2 linked regions of the Rhinolophus ferrumequinum genome follow. The protein of the gene in region 1 purifies or fractionates together with the protein of each later gene. This does not show direct contact. Links are inferred from orthologs where the notes say so. Each region holds a gene or a part of one and is shown on either strand. Other genes may lie near its edges. The genes, in order: CXXC1 and SETD1B.

What was found.
Region 2: the proteins of CXXC1 (region 1) and SETD1B purify together in Homo sapiens (affinity purification with mass spectrometry; 11 studies listed by BioGRID and IntAct, counting the BioPlex papers as one, with this or other methods). This does not show direct contact. The link is inferred for Rhinolophus ferrumequinum from reciprocal best matches to the Homo sapiens genes CXXC1 and SETD1B.

The regions. Positions count from the first base shown.
Region 1 is NC_046302.1:41,094,494-41,109,374, forward strand, and holds CXXC1 (CXXC-type zinc finger protein 1), read right to left. Parts: upstream 6,223-14,881; 5' UTR 6,001-6,222; coding exon 5,998-6,000; intron 5,149-5,997; coding exon 5,030-5,148; intron 4,929-5,029; coding exon 4,828-4,928; intron 4,547-4,827; coding exon 4,311-4,546; intron 4,220-4,310; coding exon 4,040-4,219; intron 3,626-4,039; coding exon 3,602-3,625; intron 3,526-3,601; coding exon 3,280-3,525; intron 3,115-3,279; coding exon 3,007-3,114; intron 2,870-3,006; coding exon 2,685-2,869; intron 2,387-2,684; coding exon 2,179-2,386; intron 2,104-2,178; coding exon 1,993-2,103; intron 1,863-1,992; coding exon 1,813-1,862; intron 1,663-1,812; coding exon 1,566-1,662; intron 1,250-1,565; coding exon 1,097-1,249; intron 1,019-1,096; coding exon 872-1,018; 3' UTR 602-871; downstream 1-601. UniProt on the Homo sapiens protein: Transcriptional activator that exhibits a unique DNA binding specificity for CpG unmethylated motifs with a preference for CpGG.
Region 2 is NC_046308.1:5,456,816-5,471,097, forward strand, and holds the start of SETD1B (histone-lysine N-methyltransferase SETD1B), read right to left. Parts: upstream 5,854-14,282; 5' UTR 5,705-5,853; intron 5,531-5,704; exon of another isoform or gene 5,393-5,530; intron 5,346-5,392; exon of another isoform or gene 5,327-5,345; intron 5,219-5,326; 5' UTR 5,205-5,218; coding exon 5,031-5,204; intron 4,811-5,030; coding exon 4,712-4,810; intron 4,080-4,711; coding exon 3,809-4,079; intron 1,788-3,808; coding exon 1,675-1,787; intron 812-1,674; coding exon 1-811. UniProt on the Homo sapiens protein: Histone methyltransferase that catalyzes methyl group transfer from S-adenosyl-L-methionine to the epsilon-amino group of 'Lys-4' of histone H3 (H3K4) via a non-processive mechanism.

The sequences.
Region 1 (14,881 bases):
AACAGCTGCAGGAGAGCAGAGACAAGTTATGTTGAGCTGGCCCCAGCTCTTTCCCCAGAACTGGGGAAGGGGGCAGTGCCACACTACAGGTAAACAAAAGGCCAGGTCCATGCAACGGATGAGGGCAGGTCCATCCTGGAAAGGCCAAGCTGTGAGCCCCACTGGACCTGCCAAGCAGATTGAGTGGGGTGAGGCTTCTGGCACAAAGTCAGTGGACTCCTGCTGCATACATGTCCCCAAAGAGGGGTTCGTGGGGAAAGAGGGGGCCTTGGGATCATCGGGTACACCTTTGGTCTGGAGAATATTAACACTCACACAGCAGTAGTAAATCGATTAGCCACACACTGAACGAGTGCTGACTGGACTGTCTCAAAATGAGGCTGTGAATGGTGGGCCATTGGGCTCTTCCCTCAGCAGGTCGTATGCCCACAGCTCAAGGAGGGAACCTGCACCAAGTGGGTGCCAGTTGTATACTCAGCCTACACATGCACTGCAGTGCAGTCCCTCATGAGTACAGGTGTGCCACGGCCCATCTACCCCAGGGGTTTGGGAATGCAGTTGCAACTGGGTAAAGTTGGGAGACCATCAGTGGTTCTCTTTCTTGGTTCTTCACAAAATTTTATTAACAAAACCAGGGAGGCTGAGCAAGAGTGAGCAGCCTCCACAGTCCCACCCAGAAACAAAAAATGGAGAGAAAATGGGAAAGACAAGGACAGGAGGAAATTCTGAGACCCTCTGGTAAGGGCTGATGGGCAGTCAAATGGTGGGCGGGCACAAGGAAAAACTCAGGGACCATTACAAACAGCAAGAGGATTCCAGCAAGCTCCCACGCCTGGAATGCAGGGTGTGAGGACGTCTGGGCCAGTGAGGCTCAGCGGTCGGCACTGGAGCGCAGGTCGGTAGTGAGTGGATCATGCTGGATTGTTTGGTGCAACATCAAGGCCAGTAATCCTGCCCGGTTTGTCATGGCTGTGCGTACATTGCGCTCCTGCTCAAACAGCTCATCCAGCTTGTACCACTGCCAGGGGAGAAGAGCCATGAGAAGGAGTTCTGGAAGACCCACCTCACCCTGGCCACATCCGGCATCAAAACCTACCACGCGCACACGCTCCAGGTCCACCTCAGCACGCCGCAACTTCTCCCAGCAGTAATGACGGTTGCACTGGCGCTTGGGCAGGCGGCAGAAGTCACCTGTGAGCTCAAAGACGTCACGTACAAGGGGGCATCCGCATACCTCATCAGCTGGCACCTGCAGGGAGATGGAGTGGGGATGAATGAGAGGTGCTAAGTCAGGAAGGAAAATAAGAATGAGGAGTGGTCAAGGAGGGAAGGCATGGAGAGTTCAAGGGAGAGTGAAGAATGGAAAAGGAGAGGAACAGAGGATGAAGAGGCAGGGAAAAGGGGAGGAAAAGGAGATGATGAGAGAGTACAAAAGAAGATGAATGAAGGGTAATGAGGCAGGGAAAGTGTGAGTTATGGAAGTGGTCAGGTGGGAAAAGGAAAGGAGGTGGAGCGGTGAGGAAGGTAGGAGGGTCAGAATGGGGGGAGTTGAGGGAAAACCTTACTTTGGGGTCCCGTGAGTGCTCAGGGCACAGCACTTGGAGCCGCTTACAGTATGTCTTGCTCTGAGGATTGTAGACATCACAGAAGAGTCGTGTGGCCCTGGGTATTGGAAAAAGAGAGAGCGTAGTGGGGGGAGAGAAGGAAGAGGTCTCACTTATCCTTGCCCATGCCCATATCCTGCCACAACATTCCACTTCTGACCCCAGCTTTAACTTTGCAGCCCTAACCCTACAGAGTACCCACACTCACCCTTCAATGCGTGTGGGGTACATGGACCCAAAGGACGTCTGGCTCTCATACTGGAAGGATGAACACAAATGGAGGGAACTGTGGACATGCGCTGCATGCCCTCCCAAGACAACACATCTGTCCCCCACGGACCCAGTGATACTCCTGCACCGTGTGCCCCTCTCAGGCTGACACCCTGACCTTGGCATAGCAGCGCTCCATGTGGCGCAAGGCCACACGCGGGTTGATGGGGTGCCCGCAGGAGACACAGAAGATCTGCAGGTCCGTGTCATCACTGTCGCCCTCGTTGCTCTGCATGGAATAGAAGGAATGAGGCCCGGCAGGACCAGTACTGGGCCCTGCGCTGCCATGCGCATGCTTGCTCACCTCCTCATCCTCACGCACAGCCTGCTGCTTGGCACGTGCAATGATGGACTCGAGTTCATGGAATCGGCGCTCCATTTCCTGAAGGCGGGTGCGGGCACTCTGCTGCTCACGGCGGATGCGTTCGAGCAGCTTCTTGCCATGCTCCTCAGCAATGCAAGGGCTCTGCTGCCACTGCTGGATACGCTGGGGAAGGATCTCGTAGATGCGGCTGTAGGGAGCAGTGGGTTAAGTGTAAGTGGGAAGGTGGCAATCGAGAGATGAGCAACTGGGGTCAGCCAACAATGGCAGAATGAATGGGTGACTAAACGGTGAAAGGTAAGCAAATAGGTGACTGAAGGGTAGATAGATGAGCAGATAAGTGACCGAACGGTGGATGGATGGAGGATGGATAGGTGGGTGGTTGACTGAATGGTGGACAGGTAACTGACTGGTAGACATACAAAGGGATCTGGTCAAGTCCTACTCTATGCTCCCTTATTGCCTTGAACCCTCCAAGAATGACTCACTTGGCTGCCAGCTTCATGCCGCAGTCGTCTGAGCAATACTTGGAGCCGGGCTGGGCAGGGCGCACACAGCCAGGTCCCAGGCACTGTGGGAGTGACGCGGGGTCTTTGACATCTGCGCGCTCTGGGTGTTTCCATTTGTCCTTGTGCTTCTGCTTTTGCCGATGCCGCTTGTATCTCTCTTCCTTCTATGGGACAAGGCAGGTCAGGACAGTATACGTCAGCCCAGACCCCCATCTCTCCCTGCATTCCACCCCTTTCTGGCTCTCGCCCCATTCAGCCCGTGCCCTCTTCCTTCCCACATCCTTTTCACCCTCTCCATCACCTTCTTCTCAGATTTCTTCTCCCGACGCTTCACATGCTTCACTTTCACTGCCCTCTTCCGCAGCGCAGGGTCCAGGAATGGGGACTCTTCTGTGTCACTCATCCAGGGCTGCAAGTGAAGCATACAGTGACCCACCTGCCCCACTCATGACTTCCCCACCACCTACTCAGTTCCCAAATAGCCTTCCATACCATCTGCCTCCTCTCTCCTCATTATGGATACTCTGCTTCTGTAACCTCCCCCCTTCCACCCTGGGTGGCTCTGCCTGCTCACCAGGCCGTGGTCATCAAAGGCTCCCGCACAGAAGTCCTGGTAGAGGTCAGGGTCCAGTGGTAGGTCCTCATCTGAGAGTGGCTCAGGTGTGGCCGTAGCCTCAGGTGGCTCCTTGACCGCGGATGACGCCACTGACCCCTCGTCTTCACGGATGCGTCCCAGCTTCTGTGATGGCTGTGGCTGCTGCTGGGTGGGCAGTGGCCGGCGAGGCCTTGGCAGGGACTCTGAGGGCGTCACTGGCGAGAGCTGCAGGGCAGAATCTCAGGACTGGCCCTGAATAACCTGCCCGCATGCCCCGCCCCGCCCTGGGGGCTGGACTCACCGAAGGGAAGTACTTGTACGATTCCTGTGCCGGCAGGAGAAGGCCCAGGTCAGCCCCAGGTGGATGGAGGGTGGCCCTGCCCTAGCCTTTCCCACAAGTGCCTGGCCCCCCCAACCAGCCCCTACCTTGCCTACCCAGGCACACCTGCCCCCCCACCCCTCATCACTAGGACATGCTGAGCCATGTTCCTCCTGCTCTGACATGTCTGACGACCTAGAAACATCTGGCCCTACCCTGACTTCCTGGGTTTGGGGGTCTCCCCTGCTAGCCCAGCACACCTGGCCAAGCCCCATTCACCTGGACAAGCCTGGCTCCTTTCCACCTGTCTCTATGCAGTTAGGCCCCACCCCACCTAGCCCACCCATCCTAGGCTCAATGAGCTCTTCCTGAACACACTGGCCCCCTAACCTGACCCTGCCCAGCTCTGCCCATGCTCACCCGGGCCCGAAGCTGGCACTGACGCAGCCGGCACTTCTGCCGGATCTTGTTGGGGCCCCCAAACTTCTTCATGTCCCGGCAGAAGTCACAGTGGCCACAGTCTTCAGTACGTCGGCAGGCCTCGCACTCGCCACACATGCGGGCTGACCGTTTGATCTGCTGCTGCTGCTGCTGGTGATGCTGAAGGAAGGGGCCCAGAACACAAGTCAGGAACCCAAGTTGGGCCTGAGATGGGATCACCTTACTTATCCCTGCCACCACAGCCACTCACCTGGCTGGGTGTGGCCACCAAGGGCTGTGGAGAGGATTTGTGGGGCGAAGCAGAGCCCCGAGCAAGCATGGCCCCAACCCCTGTCCCTGACCCCGCCCGGCGCTGCAGGTCTGGATCCGGGGCAGGCCTCTTGCGCCCTCCACCCTCATCCCGGGGCTCACTGCCGTCTCGCTCATTGCTGTCCCGTTCCCGTGACTTCTTGTGCCGATAGCGGATCTCCAGCTTGGGGTCTTTCTCTGTAGAACAGAGGATGAGGCCGGGGAGGCTGACATTGGGGATTTGGGTTATCCCAGAACTCTTTTTCCCTCTTCTTTCCTGTCCCACCCAATGGTCTGTCCCCCTACTCCAGAGTACAGCTGCCCCCTCCAGTGTGACTCTCTATTATTGCTCACTACAGAACAATCACTCTGCCCACAGACACGTATCACTATTCCCTGAGACCCAGCCTCCCATTATGGCTCCTTCTCCTCCCTCAAAGCCCCACCTGCTTACCCAGTCCATTCCACGCGCCCCTCACCTCGGCACTCCCGACAGTACCATTCCCGGATGGCCTTGGCCATCTTCTCAGTGATCCGGATGCAGTCCCCATGGAACCACTCATTGCAGTTGTCACACCCACTGCAGAGGATGAGGCGAGTGGTGCAGATGTGAGGGGCGGGACCCATCGGCCTCACCCAACCTTGCCAGCTGTCAGTCCCGCCCACCTCTCCCTGGCTCACATCATGAAGCAGTTGATGTCTGGTTTGCGGCAGATGCAGTAGATGGGTGCATTCTCCCCATTCTCCGACTTGCTGTCCTCTCCAGCATCTGGAGGCTCTGGATCTGAACCGTCACCCTCCTGTGGGATCCCCCCAATTATGGCTTCTTAGAGGACCCCCATCATAGCATCTTCTCCCTCCATTATAATTTCACCAGGGCTCACCATAGACCCCAACACTCTGCCAACAGAATTCCCATCTTGGCGCCTCATAAATCCCTCCGTCATGGTCCCCACAGACCCCCACATCAATCACCCCTGACACCCCATTACTCTGCTTATAAACCCCCATTGCTCAGCCCCAGACCTCCCATACTTACCTCGCTGACACCCCATCATCCTAGCCACACATTCATAAAAGCTCGTTACAAACACCCTACCGCTCGCCACACACTGCCCCCACTGTGGCTCCTCACAGACCCGGCCCACAACGCGTTCTCACAAACATCTCGTAATTCAGCTACAGCCTTCGCATCACAGCTCCCCACACATCCCGCGTTATTAACCCCACAGTCACCCTCGCCCCCATCCTGGTTCCCCATGGACTCCTTGATACAGAGTCACCACGGTGCACTACAGACTACCTAACATGGCTCATCGCAAACTCTTTATCACTCTGCCCAAAGAATCCCCCATTCGGACTCCCAAGGAACTACCATCAGGGTTCCTCACTAAACTTCTATTACGGACACCCACAATGGCTCATCACAAAATTCCCACATGGCTCACGTATCAGAAAAACCATCAGACCATCCGACAGTCATCATTCCTCCCAGAGAACCCTGTTAAGGCTCTCCACAGGCCCCCTCAATTCTGCCCAGACTCCAGTTACGGTTCACCACAGACCCCCCACGCGTCTGCCGAAGGACCCCACCATTACCAAACCCACTAACCTCTACCGCCAACCCTCTCCCGGGACCCCGTACTCACCATCTCTCGACTCTCTGCGCACTCCTTCGCGGTCCCCGCCAGCGACCCGCGAACCTACACCACTCTACGGTGTCCGCGGCGGTTGCAAAGGTGCCCACAACTACTTCCGCTTCTGATTGCGCCTCCCGGGCACCGTACTCCTATTGCGCAGGCCCAGCGCATCGGCTCCATAAACAAACAAGTGGTCGCCAGCCTAGAGCCCGGACTGTCTCCTAGGCGCCGCCATTTTGACTACCGAGGCCGTTTGGCGGCCGAGTCCATACGTTTCGCAGGAAACATGGCCGTGCCTGAGCGCGCTTACTTGTGGGCGCCGCCACCTTGTTGGGCGAGTCCGTACGGTGACCGCTTGTACGGTCTCAAAGTTGGAGGCAATATGGCCGCGCCTACTGAACGACTTCTATGCAGACGCCATCATCTTGGAATGTGATTCCGTAAGATGGCCGAGTCCGTACGTTCCCAGGCAGCACATGGCAGCGACCTATTCGTGGCTTTCACCGGGCGCCGCTATCTTGAAGGTCGATTCCGTACGCCTGTACCTTCTACTGCAGAGAAGTTCACACTGCAGAGAAGTTCACAGGGAAAGCGGCCGCTCCTAATAACACTACTTGGATCCAGTCGCACTCGTTTCGCCATTTAATCACTTTTCCTTTCCGCATGTGTTAATGGGGCTCCGGCACAATGTCTTGCGCTGCGAAGGAAAGCAATCCCACTATTAGGTTTTCCACGTCACTTCCCGCCACTCTTTCCTGCTCGTGTTCCTTGCAGTTCCTTAACCAGCCCTTGCACGGTTCAGTCGCTGGACCGTTGCAAGAGCACTCTCACCCCGCAGAATTAGTCCCGAGTAAAATGGAAGGCCATAAACGATGGTGGCCTGACCATCTTTGGTGAGAAGTAGCCGGACCGAAGCAGATTTTGAAATCAGAGACAAACGGCTTCACCAAATCATCCCCTCACCCCGCCACTGTCAGAATGTAGATTTGCCTGGTTCCTGGTGGTGTCCACTTTGGTTCTCATTTCATACCTCTCCAACAGTCGCTTCAATAAAGGTAAATTAACTTTTTAAAATTTAAATCGTGTACAATAAAGAAAATCTGTGCAGGTCAGAGAGCTAGACGTCTCCTCAGAGTAATGCTCTAAACTGGAGGACAGTGAAGGTTAAATGAAATACAACATGTCTGGGTCATTATATATTCCCCACTTATAACCATATTCCTCTCCCTCCAAACATCACCCCCCAAACACACTAGAGCGGGAATCACCGTCATAGTAAACGTCCACATTCAAAGTCAGGACTTCATTTTGGATTGAGAAGAAGAGTCTGGAGAAAATGGGATTTTTTACCATTTGCTGACAGTTTTTCTGGATTTCTTGGCTCTGGAGGTAGTAGCAACTTATTTGCTACTGAGGATTCTGCTGCTAGTGGCTTAGGAGGTCCGATTTTTTACCCCCACCTTTCCTAACATTTTTCTTCATTGTCCTCTCCACAGTGTCACAGACACATAGACAAAGGGGCCACTACATAGGTTCTGTGACCTTCTCTTCTTAAAAGAGGTTTTTAATATTTTCCAAGGATTAATTCTTTGTTTCATTGTTTTTCTCATCCCTATTTCATTAATGTCCACTTTAATCTTTACTATGACTTCCTTCTGCTTTGGGTTTAATTTGCTTCCCTTTTATTTACGTTGGAACTCTAGATTATTGATTTGAGTGGAATGGACTTTTAAAAGAGAAACTAGATAAATGAGCGATCAAAACTCTGCTTCCAGTAAAGCTCATAGTAAAATACATAGTAATGTGCCAATTCCAAGAAGCGAACCTCCAATTTGATAGAATATTCAACCTATTGTTTGGGGAAGGTATTAAGAGACCCTAACTGGCTCTAAGATCCAAAGCACATTATTAACCTTCCTAGCTCTTCTTTTATCCTCCCATGCATACCTCTGGGAAATTGTGCTACTACCTTATTTGCTATCAGTGGCAAATAAGAGCAGGGTGGGAGACTCAAATGTGCTATTACCACTTGACCATGCATAGCTGAATCGGGCAGTTGTGCATATTGTTGGCAATGATCATGTGTATGAAAGTTCTAATTTTATCATTGGTAACAAATACCATCAATTGTTTTATTTGAAGTGATGGTCTCTCTTGGTTCATATTTTTTTAAATGTCTGCCAAAATAACAAATCTAAATAACTTGTTCTTTCAGATAAAAATGATGTTCCATGAAAAAAAGTGGTTAGTTCAGCTCACAACTCAAACCATCATAGAAGTACTTTTCCTCAAAACAACCCTTCCACTGTGGTATGCAGTAGTGCTTCATGCTGCTCATTTCATCACACGTAATATTAAAATGATAGATGTATTGGGAGCTGCTCAGTCGCCTCGGGATCAGGGCAGCTGGGCTCTGAATCCGAGTGATCACAATCTGCTTCATCCTCATCCAGAACAGGGCAGGCAAGATATGCCTGGCCAAATGGTACATGCAGTTTGATGATGATGAGAAACAGAAGTTGATCGAGGAGGTGCAAACCGTGATCACTGTCCGAGATGCCAAACAAACCAATTTCCATGATGAGACAGGTAAAGAGTTAACAGGAACGAGCTTGTGAGTTAGCAGGAATGAGCTTAAAAATTAACCACTGGGCTCTGAATCCCCTGGAGGCTAGCTGTGGAAAGAGAATGATTCCCAAGGGAAGCCAACTGTAACGGCACTATCCTGCAAGCTGACAAGCAACTTACATCTATCATAGATGGGAACAGAACAGTTCCCAGAAGACAATTACAACGGCAACCCACTGCAAGCTGACAGACACCCTACATCCTGCATAGAAAAATATAAAATCCCTGCAGACTGCATAGAAAAATATAAAACCCTACATCCTGCTAGAAAAATATAAAACCCCTGCTGCAGCTGTCTACTCTAGACTCTGCCCAGCTGACTCTTCCTCCTTTTTTACTTCAATAAATCTTCTTTCTGCATTTCTATGTGCCTCGAGAATTCTTTCACAACTGGAAAGATAGCAATTGTCGTGTGACGCCTTCAGTGCGCGTGCATAGAGCCCCCAATAAACTTGTGGTTCCCACCTGGGAAAAAAAAAAGATGTCATTTCAAGGGTTGAGATTTAATAAAATTAGCAATTTTTTTGCTAATTTTATTGCTTCATCAAAGATATTCTTAAATGGGACTGGATATTGTGTGTGTGTGGTAAGCAATGTGGTTAATACTAGTGCAGTTTAGAGCAACTGCCTAGATATGTGCTAATGTGCCTGCAGTTTTAACAACCATTGATTTTACCGCTTTTGGTACAAATATTAATGTGGTGAGAAAGAAAAAAAGTCCTAATATTATGAAAAGGTTTGACCTTGCAACCCACCTGAGAATATCTCAGGTATCCCAAGGGGTCCACAGACAACACTTTGAGAACTTATTTTCTATAGCACAAAGATTAGTATTAATGAAGTACTGTTGGATATTGTTGATTGATTGACATTGTGGACAAAAAGGGGTCCTACAGAAAGTAATCCCACAGGGAGATCTGATCACAAATTCCTAACTGGGCAGGTCCTGATGGGTAGTCACACCCCAGTCATATAACTTCTTTAGTAAAAGATTTGTCTTAAGCAAGCCCTGTCCATTGTTTTTGTACATCTAGGTTAACACATCTTTGAAATAAGCTTAGCCACCTTCAAGAGAGCACATAATCTTAACTATCCTGTAATCCTATCCCCAACTTGCTTTTTCCTGCCTTCATGTAATCTCCTCATGTTGCCTCTTTAATTCAAATGCATAAAAGAAACTGCAAAACTGTTACTCTCCAAAGCATTAGAGATTTTGCTTCCTGGCAATTATCAGTTTGGCTTAAATAAATTCTTATAAAAATTCTTTACAGGTTTGGATGTTTCTTACGTTGACAGTTACTTGGAGCAGTCGGCAGGATTTTGAAGCAGGTGGTCCCCAGGACCACCCTGTTGACTCAGGCCCAGTGCGAGGTACAAGCAAAGGCCCATCGGCTCCCCTCTTCACCTCCAGTGAACTTGAGTGAGTTTTCTCTTGGAATCCTGGGCCTCCTTGCTTTAGGTAGCGGATCCTGACTTAATTTGAATTGTTCTTTGAAAATCTTTGAAGTGGATAAGGGTCAAGACAACCCAGGGAAAGAAGAAATAATGGGGGGCGGCTTTTAATTTCAGCTTTTTAATTGGATTACTTACTGAGAGTCTGAACAGAATCTTTGCTGGTTAAATGAGAGACTGAACTTTTTTTTTAAATTGGGTAATATTGGGGAACAGTGTGTTTTTCCAGGACCCATCAACTCCATGTCAAGTCGTCGTTTTCAATCTAGTTGTGGAGGGCACAGCTCACTGGCCCATGTGGGACTCAAACCGCTGACCTTGGTGTTATGAGCACTGCACTCTAACCAACTGAGCCAACCAGCCGCCCGAGACTAAATTCTCTTTAGCTCCAAAAAAGAAAGGACATTTTCTTCCCTAACCTTCCCTAGCCAATGGGTGTAGGGGGCAGGCTGTAAGCTGACAAGGGCCTTGCAGCCTCAAGGTCACTCCCATGGGAAGCCTTGCCTCAACATCTTCCCAGAAAGTACAAGATAACACTAATGCAGCCACAGACACACAAACTTGCCAATACACAAAACAGAATGTTCTACTGATACCTGCTTGTTCTGCTAATAGTTGCTTGTGTAGACAATTGTTCTAAGACTGTATATAAACCGTGTGTGAAATAAAGACTGCGCCACTGCTCCACCATCCGTGGATGGTGGACCTCCCGATCCCAGCTTTCCTGTCTCCACGTCTCCTCGCCCTTCCCCCTCAGGCTGAGCCCTCCTGGCCGCTGCGGGCCGCAGCAAATGGGGTGATGATAGTTGTTTCAGAGTAGCAGAGATAGTTGCCACAAACAGTCCAGTGTGGTAATACAGCATATCCCAGAGAAACCAGTGGGAGCCACACGGGGAGAAGGGCAGGGCACTCTGGAGTGGATTCACCCCAAGAAAGGGGTGTGTGCCTGGAAAAGTGCCACAGTTCTGGTTACGTCCAGTAAGCTTTCACTGGCTTTTGCTCTGGTATTCTTGGGTGACTAAGAATCTTTGGGGGGTTGCCTGAGTTTCCTTTGGGGCATGAAGGAGTCTTATAGGGATATTTACCACATTTGGCTTGTCTGGAGATATGCACGTAAAGGCTGGTTCTCCCTAGAATTTTGTTCGGATTTTACAGATCTTAAAGGAAAAACTAAAATTGACGTGGGAGATTGTGTCTCTGAGGCTGACAAGCCCGAAGAGAGTCAGCCTCCCATTAATACTAAGATGGCTAAGACAAGGATCCTTTGATACTTTTAATCTTTGTGCACACAATTAGAAAAAGGCAGCTATAAAATTAAGCAGAGTGAATGGAAAGCATATATTTAGACAATTTCTTGAAACTTTAAAAAGAGGATTTGAATAAATGGATCAACCTATGATGTGATTTAGGTGTCAACCCAATTCTTTGAGGTATTAAAAGTGGCTGTCCTTATGTTAAAAGGGGAAAAGTCATTTGGAACTTGACTTGTCAAGGACAGATACAAATTGTAAATGCCTCCAAAACAAAATCTGAATCCAACTGTTCTCTTATAAACTAGTGAGTTTTTCTCATGGCTAAAAGGTCTCTGTGTCTATCTATGTGTGTCTACATATGCATTTTGTAAATGTGAGATAATTTTCTACCTCTGGATGGTATTGTTAAAATTAATTGAAAGACAAGTGCTTCTAAGGATTGGATATGCTAAAATTCTCAGATACATAGAAACTAACTCAAAGGCTTTTCAAGATCTAAGATTAATCTTTAGTAGATAAAAGTTTAAGTGTGTTGGTTCAAGTAGAACAGATATATCTTTCGAGTTATTGATATTAAATGTAATATATTTTACCCGTGTTTACAAAAATAAGTCCACGTTAATAGCTAACTGACTTTTGATGTCTATGAAATATGTTTTTAGAGGTTATAAAATGTTTTCATCAATTTGCCAAGTGAAAGAATGCTAACTGCTTACTTCTTAGTTTTCATTAGAAATTGAGGTTTTAAGGGTTAAAATCTCAATATAAGTAGGAATAACTTTGCTGTGTACTAGAAAGGCCCCTGGTACACCTCAAAAGAGTTGTCTTTTATGTTAAATTGCATAGGAACTATTCTACAATAAGTGATAAAAAAAACTTCTACAATATATTGTATGGGTAAACAATGGATGTAAATTAAATGAATAATTGGGGCTATGGGAAACCCAGCACAGCTGCTTGGTTCTTTCAGGCTCCCTGGCTAACCCCATTTTTCAGTTTTTGCATTCCCTCATGCATCATTGTGCATTTAAGTTGGTCTTAAATTAGAGGAAGGAACTTACGAGCTGACATTATTAAAAGGAGACATCTCACACTATTGCCAAATATTGATAAAGTCACTTCAATAAAATGCCAAGTTGGTATCTGCCTCCTTTCACAGTGAGCTCCCAAGAGACAAAGACTTTGAATATCATTGACTGGCACGTGGAGATATTGTTTATTAGAAAAGACTTCAAATAAAAGACACTTTCCAACTCTGTTGGAAGGGAACTTATCAGGTCCTAACTATAAATGGACATCTACCTCTGTCTCCGACACTCACCTCCACCTGTAGTAGACATCAAAGACTCCTCTAGGATGAGAAGCTGCTGACATCAGAGGTAGACAGCTACCCCAAGAAATCCACAAGGCTGGTATACCTACAAATTGATCTTGAACTCAGAAACCATTTTGTCTTTACCTGTCTGCTAGTAATATCAGTCATAATAATAATATTCTTTGGGTTTTCCTATACAGTCCAACTGTTTATGACTACTGAAGATGCATAACAGTTAATACTCTTTTTATGGCTTATGTAAATGTTATACTAAATGCAAAATACAGAAATATGAGACAGACTTCCAAACTCAGATCATGATAGTTTCCACTTACTTCCTCTAAAAACACAAAGGCCTGCTCCTCCGGTTTTGTGGTAGACTTTTCCTCTTACTGCTGGTTGCCACACAAGCCCTGGAAACCAACCTCTCGTCCAGCCCCTAAGTTGGTCCGTTTCTATCCCTCATAAATCTGATCTGTAAATATCACCTTGAATCCTATGGTTTGCTGATGTTGAAGAAATGATATCTGTTACTACCTCCAGGGGAGCAGTCCCACCACATGAAGGATAGCAAATAGCATAACAATGCCTGTCACTGGGAGTAGCGGTCTCAGGATGTCAACCCATTCTATAGTGGGTGTTGGAGTTGCCAAGAAAGACATGACTTCCAGAGGCACTGGATGGAACAATGCTGCACTCACACAGAGAAGGGACAAAGCAAGATCAGCTTCGGCAGTGGGCATTGGTCCCCCACAGCTAGTGGTACCCTTACTATCTTATGTGGGAATATATTTCCTTGTTTCAGACTCCTTTGTTCTGCTTAAATACAGCACCTGGCCAACCTCACTATAATATCCCTCCAGGAATGGAGCCCTTCGCCTGCAGCATAAGAGGGGTGCACATAGCTCATCACTCACATAAGGACAGACATATATCTTACTTCTGTTGAGTACTTGTATATGATTAAGAGAGGAATTGCTGGGTTATATGGTAGCCCTATGTATAACTTTGAAGAAATTGCCACAGTTTTCCAAAGTGACTGTGCCATTTTACATCCCCACCAGCAGTGTATGAGGGTTCTAATTTTTCCATATCTTCCTAAACATTTGTTATCTGACTTTTGTATTACAGCCACACTAATGGGTGTGAAATGGTATCTCATTGTGGTTTTGATTTGCATTTCCCTAATGATTTCGAACATCTTTCCATGTGCTTATTGGCCATTTTTATATCTTCTTTGGAGAAATATCCAGATTGTTTGCCTATTTTTTTCATGTGTTATTTGTTGTTATTTACTTGTAATAGTTCTAAAAATATTCTGGATACATGTCCCTTATCAGGTATAGGAGTTGCAAACATTTTCTCTCATTCTGTAGATCATCTTTGTACTTTCTTGATGGTTTCTTTGACATACAAAGTTTTTTAAATTTTAAAGATGTCCAGTCTATGTATTTTTTCTTTTGTCCCTTGTGCTTTTAGTGTTATATCTAAGAAAGCATTGCCAAATCCAAGCTCACAAAGATTCACATCTATGTTTTCTTCTAAGACTTTTACAGCTTAAGCACTTACATTTACGTCTTTGGTTCATTCTGAGTTAAAAGATCAATTCTGAGTTTTCTGTATGGTATGAAGTAGGGGTCCAACTTCATTTTTATGCATATAAGTATCCAGTTGTCCCAGCACTATTTGTTGATTATTCTTTCCCCAGTGAATAGTTATGGCACTCGTGTCAAAAATCAATTGACAATAAATATGAGAGTTCATTTCTGGAGTCTCAATTCTATTCCAAATCTGTGTTATGCCAGTAATACATATCTATATGTCTTGATTACTGTAGCTTTGTAGTAAGCTTTGAAGACAGGAAGTATGAGCCCTCCAACTTTGTTTTTAAATATTGTTTTGGCTACACTGAGTTCCTTAAATTTTATACAAATTTTATCATCAAATTGTCTAATTTTGCCAAGAAGTTAGTTGGGATTTTGATAGGGGTTGCGTTGAATCTGTAGATGAAATTGGGGGAGTACTGCCATGGTAACAATATTTAGTCTTCCAATCCACAAACATGGGATGTCGCCCTTTCCTCTTAACGTGGGCCCTGACTGCAGGTAGAGTTGGGCTAGGCTGGGCCTAGGAATGGGGGCAGCTCGACAAGTTTCTAGGGTCTAGGGCCCAGGTCATGAACGCCCTTCTTTCCCCTTCCTCCTCCCACTTCCACCTCCCCTCCTTTCCAACCCCTTAATTGCTA
Region 2 (14,282 bases), on another chromosome or scaffold:
CCAGCCCTGCAGGTGATGCCTCCAGTGTGGGTGTGCCTGGACTGTCACAGAGCTCAGGACTCCAGCCGAAGGTCGGCCGGCCACCCAGCTCCATGCTGTTGGCATCGGGGGGTGGTGGGCCAGGCGGCGTGACCGGTTTCTCCTTGGCCAGGGGCTCAGTGGGCGGCAAGGGTGGAGGTACAGGTGCTCTTCGGAAGTCCCCGCTATCACGGGCCCCAAAGGTGGTTGTGGTGGGGGGCTCCTCAGGGGGTGGGGGGAAAGGGGGCACAGGAGTCTGATAGGGAGAGAAAGACTTGAACGTGACTCCAGGAGCGGGGGTTGCTGGGGCAGGTGGTGGAGTGTGGGCAAACGTGGCTGAATCCTGTGGTTGAACCTTGAATGGAGGGCCACTGCTGCCGAGTGCCCCAAATGGGAGGTCCACAGAGCCCCTGAAAGCAGCCGTGGCCCCTGCCACTGCAGTGACTGCAGAAGAGTTGTGGACATAATGGTGCTCGTGGCGGCGGTTATAGGCATCCGTGAACTTGCTCTCGTGTCGCCGGGCCTTGAAGGTCACCGTGGGGTCCTGGCTGAAGAGGTAGGAGGGTGTGGGCTGGCGGCTGGAGTAGCTAGAGTCCTGGGAGAAGGGGGTGCCCAGGCGTGGTGTGAGGGGTGTGCCCTGTCCGTAGGAGTTGGGTGTGTCCAGGCGGCAGCTGGAGTAAGCAGTGTCCTGGGAGAAGGGTGTCCCACCACTATTGGGGGTGACAGAGGATGATCCAGAGCCACAGCCTGCAGACAGTCCACCATCCTTGAGGCGCTTCAGGGCATCTGACAGCTAGAGAGAGAGGTGTAGGTGACATCACGGGGATGGGGAACATGGAATGGAATGGGGCTATTTTCCCTTCTCACTCTGGCTGCTGGGGAGCTCAGAGGCAAATTGGTCACTCTAGACCTGCAGCATGGTAAAAGGATTGGGGGGTGGGGGACTGAAGAGGAGTTTCTGGATGATCCTAACCCTTCTCTACTCTTAGAGTCACCAACTATCCTCAGAGAACCTTGAGGGTTTTTCCTAATCCCTCAAGCAGAGAAAACAGAAGATCCTGACATCTTGGTTTTAACTAGGATTTCCTTCCTGTCTCAGGCTGGCAGAAATCAAAGACCTTCCCGCAGGAGCAGCAAGAAAAACCATGGAAACTATGTTCCTGGGAGTGTGGGGGTGGCCAAAGGCCTTGTCCCCTCCAGCCTCCCAGTGTTTTAGGATTTAAATAGTATGACATGGTAAATGCACCTAATGAACTCAGCTGACCAGCAAATGAGCAAAGTCTCTTCATTCTGGAAAAGCTATTCCTAAGGTTGGTTGGGGAAGGGCTGGGATGAGAATCTCTCTAGGTGAAGGTGGTCCTAGGAGGCAGTGGTTGGGGAAGGAGTCAGTCTTGCTCTGGAAAGAGGGACCTGAACTCTGCTTTCTGGGGGCAGGGCTAGAGGGATGCACAGGACATCAAGGGCAGCAGTTTCAGCATCCACATGGAAAGTGGGCCCCAGGTGGTCTTGGGGTCTGTGGGACTCCCAGCCAGTGCATGGCCAGGCTACTTTCCCTCCTAGGCTCTGGTGTCCAAGGCTGGAGATGGTGACAGTGGGGGTGAGGGGCACATCAGTAAGCTGGTGATGGGGAGGGGGTGCTGATGGTGAGAAACCTACCTGCAAGGTTTCATTCACGATCGGAGAGACAGCATCCAGCTCGCCCACTGGGAGGGTCTGGGGTGTATATCGGCCTGTGACCAACAATTCATAAAACCGCATGCGGGTTTCCCCTATGGAAGAACAAGGGATGAAGGACTCAGCGAGGCTCTCAGACGGGACAGCCTCCACAGGACGGCTGCCTGTGGGGCCCTTGTGCCTGAGACCCCAAGCCTGGAGAAGCTGTGTGACCCTGACCAAGTTCCCACCTCTCTTTGCACCTCACTCAGGAGTCCTATATGTTCAGTGAAGCTGCTACACTGTGTGATTTTTCTCATCCTGAGACTCAGAATTTAATGCCTTGTGGGGCTGGGACTCCCCCAAATACAAAATGCCACACTCAATACAAAGCCCCTTCCTGTCACCTGGGCACCCAAAGAATCAGGTCTTCCCAGTCCTGTCCTTTTGCCTTCCCCCTTAAATGCCAGGGCCTGGTAGCAAGTGGAGAGCAGACCCAGTGACACAGAAGTGACAGTTTTTTGTTAACTATCTGGGGCCAGGTGACCAGCAGCGTTTATAAAACACACTCTAGTACCCCATTCCTGTCAACTCCACAGGCCTCCTTCCTCTGACCAGACTCCCCAGCTGTGCCTGGGGCTCGGCCCCATGAGCCATGTCTGGTAACCCTCCACCCCACTCCACCAGCAGAGAAGGCCTCTGCAGACCAGGGGGCCCCAGATTATTGATATTTATAGAGCCCTGTGAGGCAGCTGCTTACATATGCAAAGAAGACGCATTCCTTGAGCTATGCATTACTGGTCTCTTTCTTGAAATACAAACTTAGTTAGCAGTCTCTGAGGGCCACCCCCACCCCCTTTTTTTTGTTTGCAGAAATGAAATTTTGGTGATCACACACTGCTTAACGTGGGTGTGTGACGGGAGGGAAAGGGCTCCACATTGAAGTCTTAGGACTGCAGCCCCCGGAGAGAGATGTAGATTTGAAAGGGTTTGTATTCCCCCCCAGAGTCTGAGAAACTAGAGAAAGGGATGTGAGGGGAGCTGTGGCTTGGACAGGAACCTGGGCTTGTGCCCCCAGGAGACTCAGAACAAGGTACAGCTCAGCAAGAACTTATGGGATAACAGTGCCTGCCCGGGACATGCACCCCTCCATAGCCCCCAGCAACGCCTGAGATTCGGTCAACATGTATTCGTTATTAGAACCAAAAATAAAGATTTAGATTTTTCTGTCTTAAGTTGAATGCCCCAGTTGCTCACAAAATCCCTGGAAGCCTTCCACCTATGCCTGCCCAGGCAGGGTTCTCCTAAGAGACCTCAAGAGACTCTGGACCCAGTCACAGGGCTGGCTGGTCCTCAGAGAACCCGGCACCTTCTTCTGTCCTGGTGGGAACTAGAGTCCTTGCATGCCCCTCCAGCCAGCATCCAGGAGAAGCCTCCCAGGACCCCGAGGGTGGGAGGTGTGGCCTCCCCAGCCAGCCACTTGGGAGTGAGCCAGCACTGCTCAGGAGGTGCTACTGTCTCTTTAAGAGAGAGGAGGGAAGACAGTGTCAACCCTGGAGCACCCAGTGCAGCCGCGGAGCAGTATCTGGAACATTATCAATGAAACCTCACTCTGGGCCCAGATTGGTTCTCACTTCCAGGGGTTAGGGGCGGTATGGGGAGGGACGTACACCCTGGATCCTCGGAGGACTCTCTTGTTAGTTGAGGAACCTACTCTTTATGTACTGAAATGCATCCTAGTGGCTCCCCTTAGCACCCCCCCAAATAAACAAACCCTGCCTCTTCCCCTAACATACTGCAACACTGGGGACTGTCTAAACCCAGGCCACCAGGGCTCGGAGAGGGGCCTGAGGGGGTGTCAGCGGTGGGGAAGCTTCTAGGTGGTCCCTAGGGGTGCAGTGGCCAAGGACCGGCACATTTGGTAAATTACAGCTTGTCTCCTAGCAACAGACAACACATTTAGCTCCACGTGACTCTACCCTCAGGAGGGGGCAAAGAAAATAAGATTGTAGGAGGGCACCCAAGGAAGAGTGAGGGGGTCCCCGACACTGCAAGAGGAGTTCCGGGAGGGAAAGGGGTCACACTGACAGGTTTTGCGCCCTCCACAGGGTGTCCTGAGCCAGCAGCCTCCACTCACCTTTGGTGTCCAACTCCACGTGGATGATATTGCCCATGACAGAAGTGCTATGCAAGTGCTGAACGGCCTCCTTAGCTCCCCTGACGGTGGCAAAGACCACCTTGGCAATGCCCAAGTGCTTCTTGGTCTTGGGGTTATACAAAATCTCCACCTCTTCCACCTCCCCATACTTCTTGCACATGTCCCTCAGGAAGTTTTCGCGGATGTTATCATTCAGCTTGGCAAATGTCACCTGCTTCGGAGGCACCGGGCCCACGTAGAACTCATCGATCTGGCAGGGGACGAGGGGGAAGGGAGTTTGGAGAACATTGAAACTGAAGGGAAAACAGAACATTCTCCACTCGCCAGCCCGTGTAAAACAATGAAGGGTAAAAAAATAAAAAATTTTTTTGGAAAAAAAAATGCACGCGGGCGGGCCCGGGAAGCGAAGGATTAAATCGTTTGGAACGTGGAAGTCCTCTGGGTTCGAAAGGAAAGGGGAAAAAGAAACAGTTTCTCTTTCCCCACCCCCCACCCCCATTCTGGCCTACTCTTCCAGCTGCGGGTCAGGGGCAACCCCTTGGGCTAGGAAGTTGTTTCTCTAAAGCCTCAAGGCTGGGAAGGGGGGCGGGTCCCGGAGCCAAGCCCCCGGGCTGGCAGGAGCCAGGTGGGGACCCGGAGCCCCCAGCTGGGCGGGCAGGACACAGTATCAGCGCCTTGATTACAGTTTCACCGCAGTGTTATTCTGTTTACTGTAGCTCAGAGGGGACACCCCTCTTGCAGCAATCTCCCCCTCCCCGTCAAAACTTCCTCGGCCGGGACGGCGGGAACTCAGAATCCGGCTGGGCTCGGTCAGGACTGGCGTTATTTTCGAACTCGGGGTGGGAGGGGGGAGGGACTTTGGGGCCGGGGGAAGGGTCCTACCTTGAATTTGGGCACCGACAGCTCCAGCTCCTTGTTTTTGGTCCAGATCCCGACGACCCGGGGATCTTCGACAATTTCCACCGGGCGGTTGCTGGACATCTGTAGGGAGGAATTGGGGGGCGGAATGGGAGGGCTGGTCCCAATCCCCACAGGCAGGGGCAGACCCCCCTCCTCCTGGCACTTGTCAAACTCCAGGGCTGGGGACCCGGCTGACAGTTGGCCCGGTGGTCTGGACGGGGGTCCCCGGGCCGCTCGGACCTCATTCCCCGGCGTGGCTGGGGGTGGGTGGGGGCGACGGGGAGGCGCGCCGGCTACTTACCGCCAGGCTGAAATGCTGCCCATCGTAGCGGTACAGTTTATGATGCCCCTTTTTCAGAGCCGGGTCAATCATCAACTTGTAACTTCTCCAATGGTGGTTCCTCCTCTCGCCCGAAGGGCCGGGCTGCGGCGGGGGCTGCTGGTGGTGGTGGTGGTGGGGGTGACTGTTCTCCATGCCGTTAACCCAACCTGAAGACGAGCAAGTTGTTGTCGTCTCCGCCGCCTCGGCGGCGGCGGCCGCTTCTACACACACGCGAAAGAATCAAATCGTCCAGCCCCCACCCCCTCCCACCTTACCAGCGCGCCCCAAAAGGCACTGTCTCGCTGGCTCCCCCCAAAATAAGAATGTAACGAGATAATAACCCTTCCGGGAGAATTAGGCGCCCGCCCGCTCGGCCACCGTCTCGGGGCAGCAGCGAGGGGCTCCTGGGGGCCTCCGGTGCGGGCTGGTGGGGACCGGGGTGCCCGGAGGACGCGGGCTCCGGCCCATAGTGCCCGCCCCGCAGCCCGGCGTGGCGCTCGCTCGCTCGGTCGGCCCGGCTGGGGCGCGGGGCTCAGGGCAGGCCTGGCGCCGCCCGCCCGTCCGCCCGCCCGCCCGCTTGGTCGGGGCCGGGGCTGGGGGCTCGGGCCGCCCGGCTGCCGGCCGCGGCCTCTCCCTCCCCGAGCCGCGCTTACATCCCCGCCGGGCGCCGGCCTCCCTGCGCCGCCAGCCAGTACATGGTGTCCCCCGCGGGAGCCGAGGCCGGGGCGGCCAGACGGGGGGCCAGGAGGGGGGGGCGCCGCGGCCGCGGCTGCCGGGCCCGGAGCTGCTGCCGCCGCCGCCGCTGCTGCTGCTGCTGCTGCTGCCCGGGAGGCGGCTGGCGGCGGAGGCTCGGCTCCCAGTAGCCGCACATCCCACAATACACCGCTAAGGAGCCCGACCCGAGCGCTCACCCTCCTCCTCTTCCTCCTCCTCCCGCTCTTCCTCCTCCCCTCTCCTTCCTCGCCGCTTCCCCAGGCACTCTCCCGGCGGCGGCAGCTGCGCCGCCAAAGCCCCGGGCCCCAGCGGCCCCCCACCCCTCACTCGCGCGCTCCCACACTGCCTCCCCCCTCCCTGGGGGAAGGCCTTTTAATTTATTTATTCTGCTGGGACCTAGGTGGGGGGCTTAGCGGGCGGGGGAAGGGGTCTCCCCGGGCTCTACCTCCACGGCTGAGGCTACCCTCTGAGCCGCGGCGTGCGCCTCGGGCCTCCACAACTGTTTCCAAACTGCCAAGACCTGAGGTGGGCGCGTGGGGGCTCGGGGAAAAGGACTGGGGTTTTGGGGTGTGTGAGTGTGTGTGTGTGTGTGTGATTGTATGTCTGGACGCTCGAGCCCCGTGGGGAGGCAAGACGACTCAAGACGAGTTGCAATCGAGGTATATACGCTCCAGCTTCCTCTTCTGCCCCGCGACCCCCTCCCCCGCTTCCCCCCCGGAGCTGAGCTGGGGAGGGGAAACCAGGATTTTAACCAAATTAGCATTCACATTCCTGGGAGGATGCGACTCTCGCCTGGACTCTGGCTGATAGAAGCCCTTTGCTCTGTTTTTATTTTTGGAGAGCAGCGCCCTGTAATTGTCCATAACACATGCTCTCTCCACCGCCCCCCCCACTCCTTCCTCCAGCCACCAGCGGAGGAGAGAGTCCCCCTTTTTTGCATTTATCTTTTCCTTCCCCTTTCTTTATTAAAGGTCCGGGAGTGGCGGCGGCCAATCAGCGCGCGGCTTCCATTTTGTGAGTTCAACTCCGAGGCTCCTGGGCTTCGCGAGGACGCATTTGCAGCCCCCTCTGCCTCTCGTGTCTGGCGACCGAGGCGAGGGAACCGCCTCGCTGGGGCTCGTAGTGGTGTATTTCATATTGGGGCTCTTTTTCGGGGTTTGTAATTTGGCCGTGGGTAGGTAATTGGCTGGAGCAGGGCGGCAGGGCGCGGCAGCCAATCAGCGCGCGGCTTCTATAGGGCTTGAGTTATTAGACGCTGATCTCAAAACATCCTTCATCAGACACCAAGGAGAGGCCAACAGATGAGGGGAGCCATTTTTCTGCAATGGAATTAAATGGCCAAGTGGGTTTTTCCTTTGTTGCAAATGGGGAATGTTTTTCCTTTGACTCCACCATCCAGTTCAGGACGCCTCAGTGTTGTGTTTAACATTTGTCAACAAGCTAAAGGACTCACTATTGGAAGAATGAAGAAGACTTTTTAAAAAGATCTGGATTTTTCCTTATGACTTGGAATCCATCTTTGTCTTGTATAACTAGGTCATAGCACACCATTAATGTCAGCAGTTAACAATTTTGAATTCCAAAAAACCTAAGTAAATGACATATTTAATTTTTTTCCTCTTTTTTCTTGGGTGGGTGGGGGGAGCTTGGAGCTATCTTAATCTGTATTCTCTTAACTGAACAATAAATTTTTAAATATATATAGTTTCCTCTATTAAACACTTAAACCTGGCCATTTTATTAACTCCTTCTCTCTTTTTTTAACAAGGTAATGTTTTAAATGTGTAGTTTTAGGACTAGCGAAATGGCAGCAACAAAAAATTGTAAGCAGTTGTTACTCTTTAAGTTTTTAAAAACCTTTTACATTGTAAGTACCCAATCCATTGTGTCCTTACGCAGTGCAGTTTTCATGTTAATGTTGCTGAGATGTCCTTAATTTTCTGAACCTTCATCTGCATGTATGTCTTTGTTGCTCTTGTCTATTATAAGCCAGTTAAAATGCTCTTAGACGATTTTGCTTTTAAAAAGCTAAGGCTTTAGCTTTAAGCTTTTGAAAATGTTTACAGCAATAAATGCTAGTCATCTTTCTTCCTAGTAACATGTACACTTTCTTTGAAAATTGATCAGTTGAAAAACAGCTCTGTTTTTCTCGTCTTGGTAGAGGGGTGGGTGAGGGAAAGGAAGACCTCTTTGTGTAGAGACTGAAGCCGTCACAGGAAACTAGATTAAAAGTGGAAAACAAGTCCTAGCTGGTTCGAGCCAAACACCAACGTTAACTCGCGGGTATTTTCTATGGTGGTTGGGATGGCCGTGTGTCTTTTTGCCTTTTGTTTGACTTGACTGTGTGTTTTCGCCTTTTGTCTCTTAATGACGGTCACACCATTGCTATATCGAGAGCAGTAAACAGCCCTCAGCGAAGTCGCCTTTTGCCAACCCAACCCTGGAAAGTTTGCAGAAGTGGAAGGAACAGAAAATGCCATGAGAGTGTAACTTACAAAAAGGTAACAACAACAAAAAGGCACCACCATTCCCCTAAATATTCCCAACTAAACAATTCCCCCCCCCAAAGATATTTACAATAACACCTCCAAACTCTCCGCCCAGCTTGATCTTCCAGACTCCATGGCACCGGGGTGAGCGGGTAAGTTAAAAAAAAAAAAAGTTCCTTTTGCCCCTTCGAGGAAATTATTTTATTTTAGAGCAGGCCAAGGGCTGCAAATGTGTGGGAGCTGAGGGGAGAAGGAAGATTCTGGAGTTTTATGTTTGGCAGCCGGATCGGGGAGGGGTGGGGGCCCCGAGGAGGGCTCTTGGGACCTTTTTTGCCCCTTCTACCCAGGAGGCGAGAAGAATCTCCCCCAACGACCCCGGGCATTCAGGGAGCCGCCTGCGCTCGTCCCTCCCTTTTGTAGTTCTGAGCCTTGGTGGGGAGAAGAAATTGAAGTGCTTTGGAAATACGGGGGCGCAAAAGATGAGGAGACCTCCCCGCCCCATCTAGGGCCTCCTTCCCTTTTGATTGTGGGGGTCTCGCACTCGGTAGCCGGCTTTTCGGGGCTCCGGGGCGCGCCTGCGCTTCCTAAACAACAAAGGACAAAAGGCCGGCGTCCATGTTGGCACCATGACGCAGCATCTCTCCAGCCTGCAGCCCGCGCGCCGCCGGTTCTCCCGGCCGCGCTCGCTCCTCCCTCCCAAACACGAGTTTTATTTTAAGGTTCAGAGCCGAGCCACAGGCTGGGGCCGGGGGCGGGCAGCTAATGGCGGCTACTCTCCTCTTCCTCCCTCCTTCCCCGGTTGTCGTTGGGCGCCCGGAGCAGGCAGTGGTCCCTCAGCTGGGCCGGGTCCCAAGGACCCACGGGGCACAGCGCTCCGAGCCAGGGGCTGGTGGCGGAGGCCGTTTCGGGGGTCGCGGGCCTGGGGGCGTCGCGCGGCGGGACTCCCGCGCTCGCCTCCGTGGGGCGAGGCGGCCAGACGGGCGCCATTTCGCGCGCCGCCCGCGGCTCGGGCGGTGGCGGCCGCTGCGCGCCAGGCGGGAGGTGGGAGGGAAGCGGCGGGGCCGGGGGGGAGGGGAGGCCGCCTCCCGCGTTCCAAGCGGCTGCCTGTGTGGACGCCCCTGGCCAGGAGGCCTCGACTACCAGCGCGAACAGCGCAGCTGGCTCGGACCCCGCGCCACAGTCGTGGGGGGAGGGGGGGCGCGGGCACGAGGCCTCGCTCCACCGCCCGGCCGCGGGTGCTTTTCCTTCTTCCTCCCGCGAGGGAGCCAGTAGCAAAGGGCCACGGGGCTGGTCTGGGCTTCGACGTGGATCGGCCCCTCCGGAGGCCAGGTCCTGACCCCAAGCTGCACACCCGAGCCTCAGCTCCCAGGTCTGGCTCCCAACTGCCCTTTGTTAGCCGTGCTCGAAGCGCGGGGTCATTTTTTGTCCCCACTTTGGGCGTGAGGCCCTCACGGAAGCCACCGACGCCCGGATCTGGTTGTCCAGGGTGTGCTCTCCAACCCGGCCCTCTAGGGGCTGAGGTGGGGGGTTGGGGCCTGGGAAGGTTCTGCGGGCCTTCCCCGAGGCCCGGGGGTCGGAGGGCTCCCAGGTAAATCCTCACTATGGCCCTTCTTGGGAGAAGGGTTACGGACGGGGCCGGCCTTTGGAAATGCAGATGAGTGGCCTCCTGCTGCTTGTCACCCGGGCTGAACCTTCGTGACTCACCCACCATCCCCCCTCTTACCCATTGCGCAGTGAGGACTGCCTTGGCAGCTGGGAATAGGGTGGGGGAGGGGGAGATTTGTAAGTCTCCTTTTCTGTCCAGGAGATCCTGTCCAGTTTGTGGCCATCAACTCCCTAACAAATCCTCCCACTTCCCCCCCCCAACCTCCCAGGCTCTTGGCCAGAGAAGGGGCAACAGGCCATACCCCCAGAGTGGACCGTCCTCTGGACAGCAGGAGCAGGCCTAGTTTGACTCTTGAGAGTCCTCCCACTAAGGTAGGTGTAAGCCCTTTTGCAGCCTGGGAGGGAGATTTATTTGGGGGGCTTTGGCCCGGAGCCCCGGTTGGGCGTACACCTCAAACCCGCTAGGCTAGTTCTGCGGCCCCTCCCCCACACAGATGTGTGGGACTGTGTGTGAAACCGGCTGCCTGCTGGGTCCATCCATCCCGCCTGTCAGCTTCTGTTGTCAGAGTTTGGGGCGTGGAATTCTCTGCTGTATTTAGTAGCATAGGACAGGCTGCACTGGCAAGTGTTTCCTAGTGGTGTGTTTTGTGGTGGGGGGAGGGCCCTGGATGCCTAGAAAGATACTGTTTGCTGCCCAGAAGCAGGGCCTTCCCTTCTTGCCCCCAGTTTGGGCACGCGGAGTGACTGCTTGAGCTGCTAGGGAGGTGAAACAGGACCTGTCATCTGAGCAAGCTTCCTCTGTGAGGAACAGGTTTCTTGACTCTTCTCCCACTTCCTGGGAATTCCCACGATTCCCTCCCCACCCCCACACCAAAACGACCCGTTTCTAGAGCCGTACATATCAGCTAGCCATTTACCTGCTGTACCTTGCATGTGCTGCAGTCTCTGAGCCCACCTGCACAAGTGGGTCTAGGTCAGTGATTCTCAAACTGGAGCATGGAGCGGAATCACATTTTAGAACTGATTCAGTAGGTGGGGCCTGAGAACTTGCATTTCTGACATGCTCCCAGGTGGTGCTGCTGCTGCTGTCATCTGGGGACACATTTTAAGAACCTTTGGGCTAGCTAACACCTGGGGTGTTGTGAGGATGCAAGCTCTGTGCTTGGCAGAGTCGCTGGCTGCTTAATAATGGCAACTCTCTCTTAATTCTAACGCAAGCTGTCTGCGCAGTTTCCCAGTGTCTTTTGTCTCCAGGAAGCTCCACAGCTGGAGATGGTATGGCCCTTGATCTCTGACCCTTTCCCCCCTGTGGTCTCTAGTATGTAATGACTTTGATGAACCATTTGGGGTTTGAACTGACTCTCCTTTGGGCTGCAGATCAGCCCTGCCCACTTTTACCTGAGATTTGGGGGAGTCTGTAAGGGCTTGACCCTGAGATTTTGTTTGGAGCCATTGTGGTGCTTAATCAAGGGAGGCTCTTAAGTCAGGTGGCTGTGGGCTTGAATCTCCACTGTGCTGGTGACCTTGGGCGGGTCTCCTGTGTAAAATGATAATGATGCATGCTGAAAAGGGTGGTGGGAGGATTATTTGCGATTAAAGCGGCTGGCCTCTCATTTAGGCTTCACACTAGTCGGCCTCCATTCCGATGTGGCTGCAGGGCATGGAGGCTGGGCTGGCTGGCTGCGAGCTCCTCCCCACAGCCCACCCCAGAGCACGTGGCAAAGCCTCAGGGCAGAGGGGAAGACTGGCTCTCCTTGGGAAGGGAGCCAGCGTCATTCTTCCTCTTGTGTAGTTTGAGTTCTGATCAGGGCCTGCCCCCAGCTCCACAGGCTGTTCCATGAGCTGTCTTAATTGGGGGTCACTCACCCTCCCGGAGAGTATAAGTGACTCGCCCAAGGTCACGAGGTCACCACCAGCAGCCAGGAGAGGGTTCCAGGTGTCTTGACTTCCAGCCCAGCGCCTATGTCCATGGCATCCCCTAGCCCCAGCTGTCTGGGTTATTTTGGGCTCCCTCCCATGCCAGCTGTCTGCTGGCATCACTGCCGGGAGCTGGGAAAGCTGTCTGGTTGAAAGTAACCTGGAGGTGCTCTTGGCTCTTCTGGCTGCCATGCCTTCGCCTCTCCAGTCCCAGATACGCTGGGTTTGGTCCATCTTGTCCTTTGCCAGGAGGAACGGCATGCACCCCACCACACCTGTCACCAGTCTCCCTTCCCCCTACCCAGGGTGAGGGGGAAGGCTCCTGGTATAATTTGATGAGCCTCTTCCCTCCTTCCGCACTCAACCCCAGACCTAAGGTCTAAGTTCCGCTCTGCCTTTGATGAAACCATAAAACTCTCTTGATCCTCAATGACCTTTGTGCCGCCTGAGGGTGTCTTGTGTCCCCTTTGGATAGAGTCCTTGAGGCTCCTGGGGCAGGGGTCTTTACCTGCCTTGGGAGGCAGATTGTTAAATGATTTAAACCCACCCTCCCCTTTCAGCAGCTGCCTGGAGGGCTACAGCCAGTTCTTCCATTCCCTCCCTGGGACCAATTAGGGAGCAATTAGGTGCTAAACTGGTCTGCTTGTGATTCTTGGAAGGGAGAGGTGTCCCCATGACCCAGAAGGATTGTCATCAGCTACTTCCTCCCCTCTTGAATTCTCTTTCACCTCCTCTTTCTAATTTTGTGTCCCCCCCCCCACCCAATTACCTCCTGGGGACAGGGAGGGACTGGAGCAGCCTGTGTGTCCTCAGGCTGTTGTTCCTTCTTGCCAAGAGGGTAGCCCTGCCCACAGGTCACCCAGGGAGCCAGGGGCGGGGCCTATCCTGGCACCCTGCCGGTGGGGCTGCCTAGAGGGCCACGCCAGCGGAAGGGCGTCCCCAGGCAGGAAGGCCGCTTGACCTGCCTTACTACTGGATGCCATGGTCCGGCCTCTTCCGGCCCATCCACCGAGAGCCCCGTATGCAGTGCGACCTTTTGGACCCTCTGGGTGGAAACACAGCTTTTGCCTGGACTGTAGAGAGCGGCACCCTGTCATTTCAAGGCCAAGGCCACCTCAGTCAGTGCTGTCTCCAGCTGGCAGTAACCTTGGCAGTCCCTGCCCTTCTGGGAGCAGTGGTCTCTCCATGTGAACCAGGAGAAGGAAGTTAGCCAATAACCTTTTGAGCTCTTTCTGATCTATCTGGCTTTGTGAGGGGAGCTTTTTGTATGGCAGTGATTCCCCAGACCACCTCCTATCTCTGGGACCCCAGAGGTATACTAAGAGTAGCTTAGTATATGAAGGCTCCGCTTCTTCAGTGTCACATGGAGTAGATGACCGTCAGGTGTGTGGTGACCTCGCAGGATGCGCGGAGGCACTAGGGAAGTGGCATTGTCATGAACTTCCCCATCCTAAGCGGCACTGGCCAGACTTTGCCCTGACAAGACAGAAGTGGATTTGGCCCCTTCTTTCCTGGGCTCAGTTGGCCTTGTTATGGCACGGGCCAAATGAGTTCACCCCGCAAATGCCACCTGGCCAGCTCCCCTAGGCTTCTGTGTCCCAACAGCTCTATGGAAGAACCAGTTTAAAGCATCTTTCTTGCCTTTCTAAATCTCCAGGAATTCCTGGTGAATAGGAGAACTGGGTCCTCAGAACGTCTCACAGGTAAAGGAGTAGGGCTCTCAGGCGTGGGGGTGTGCCCAGTTCCTCAGCTGGCTTGCCTGGCCTGGCTGCCTCTGAGGAAGATTCCAGCAGCTGGCCTAGCTGCTGGCTATTTTTAGCTACAGATCCAGCCCCTGCACCACTGGAGCCGGGTCCAAATCAAACATGCTCCAGACCGGCTGGGGCTGGGGTTCTGCCAGACTTTTGACCAGGCAGGGGTGGGTGGGTGGGCTGGGGCCAGTGTCAGCTGTTCTGCTGGACTCAGGAAGGGCTGGGAAGACTCACTTTTCCTCTTGTTCCCTCCCCTCAGCTTTGTGTAAGTGGTTCTGTCATAAATCAAAATTGTAGCTCCATTTCTCAGATGGAGAGAGTGAAAACTGAAGTCTAGGGATTTTGAGGCTAATCAGGAGCCCTCCCACAGGCTCATGAGATTAACCCAGTTTCAAGTGACAGCTTGCTCAGAGTGGGGTGACCTTTCTAAGTGAATTCCCCCCAAGCCCCTTTCCAGATGAGCCAGCCTCCCTCCCTCTCTTGAACTGTCCTAGTCCCTCCCTGAGCTTTAGGGTCCCTGCTGCAAGGTCAGGCCTGAGGTGAGAAGCCTGGGGCTGGCTGCAAAGGTAAGTGGTCCTCCCCTCACTCAAAGCCCTCTTTCATCCTCCCCCCTCCTCCTGTGGTCCTGGGGTCATTTCTGACATGTCTCTGGACCTGGTTTCCTCCTTTCCTACCAACCTCAGGTTGCCTCACCAGCCAATCACAGCTCCTCCCTGGTCACCAGAGAGAGCTTGAGGGCCCAAAACTGGGCCTGT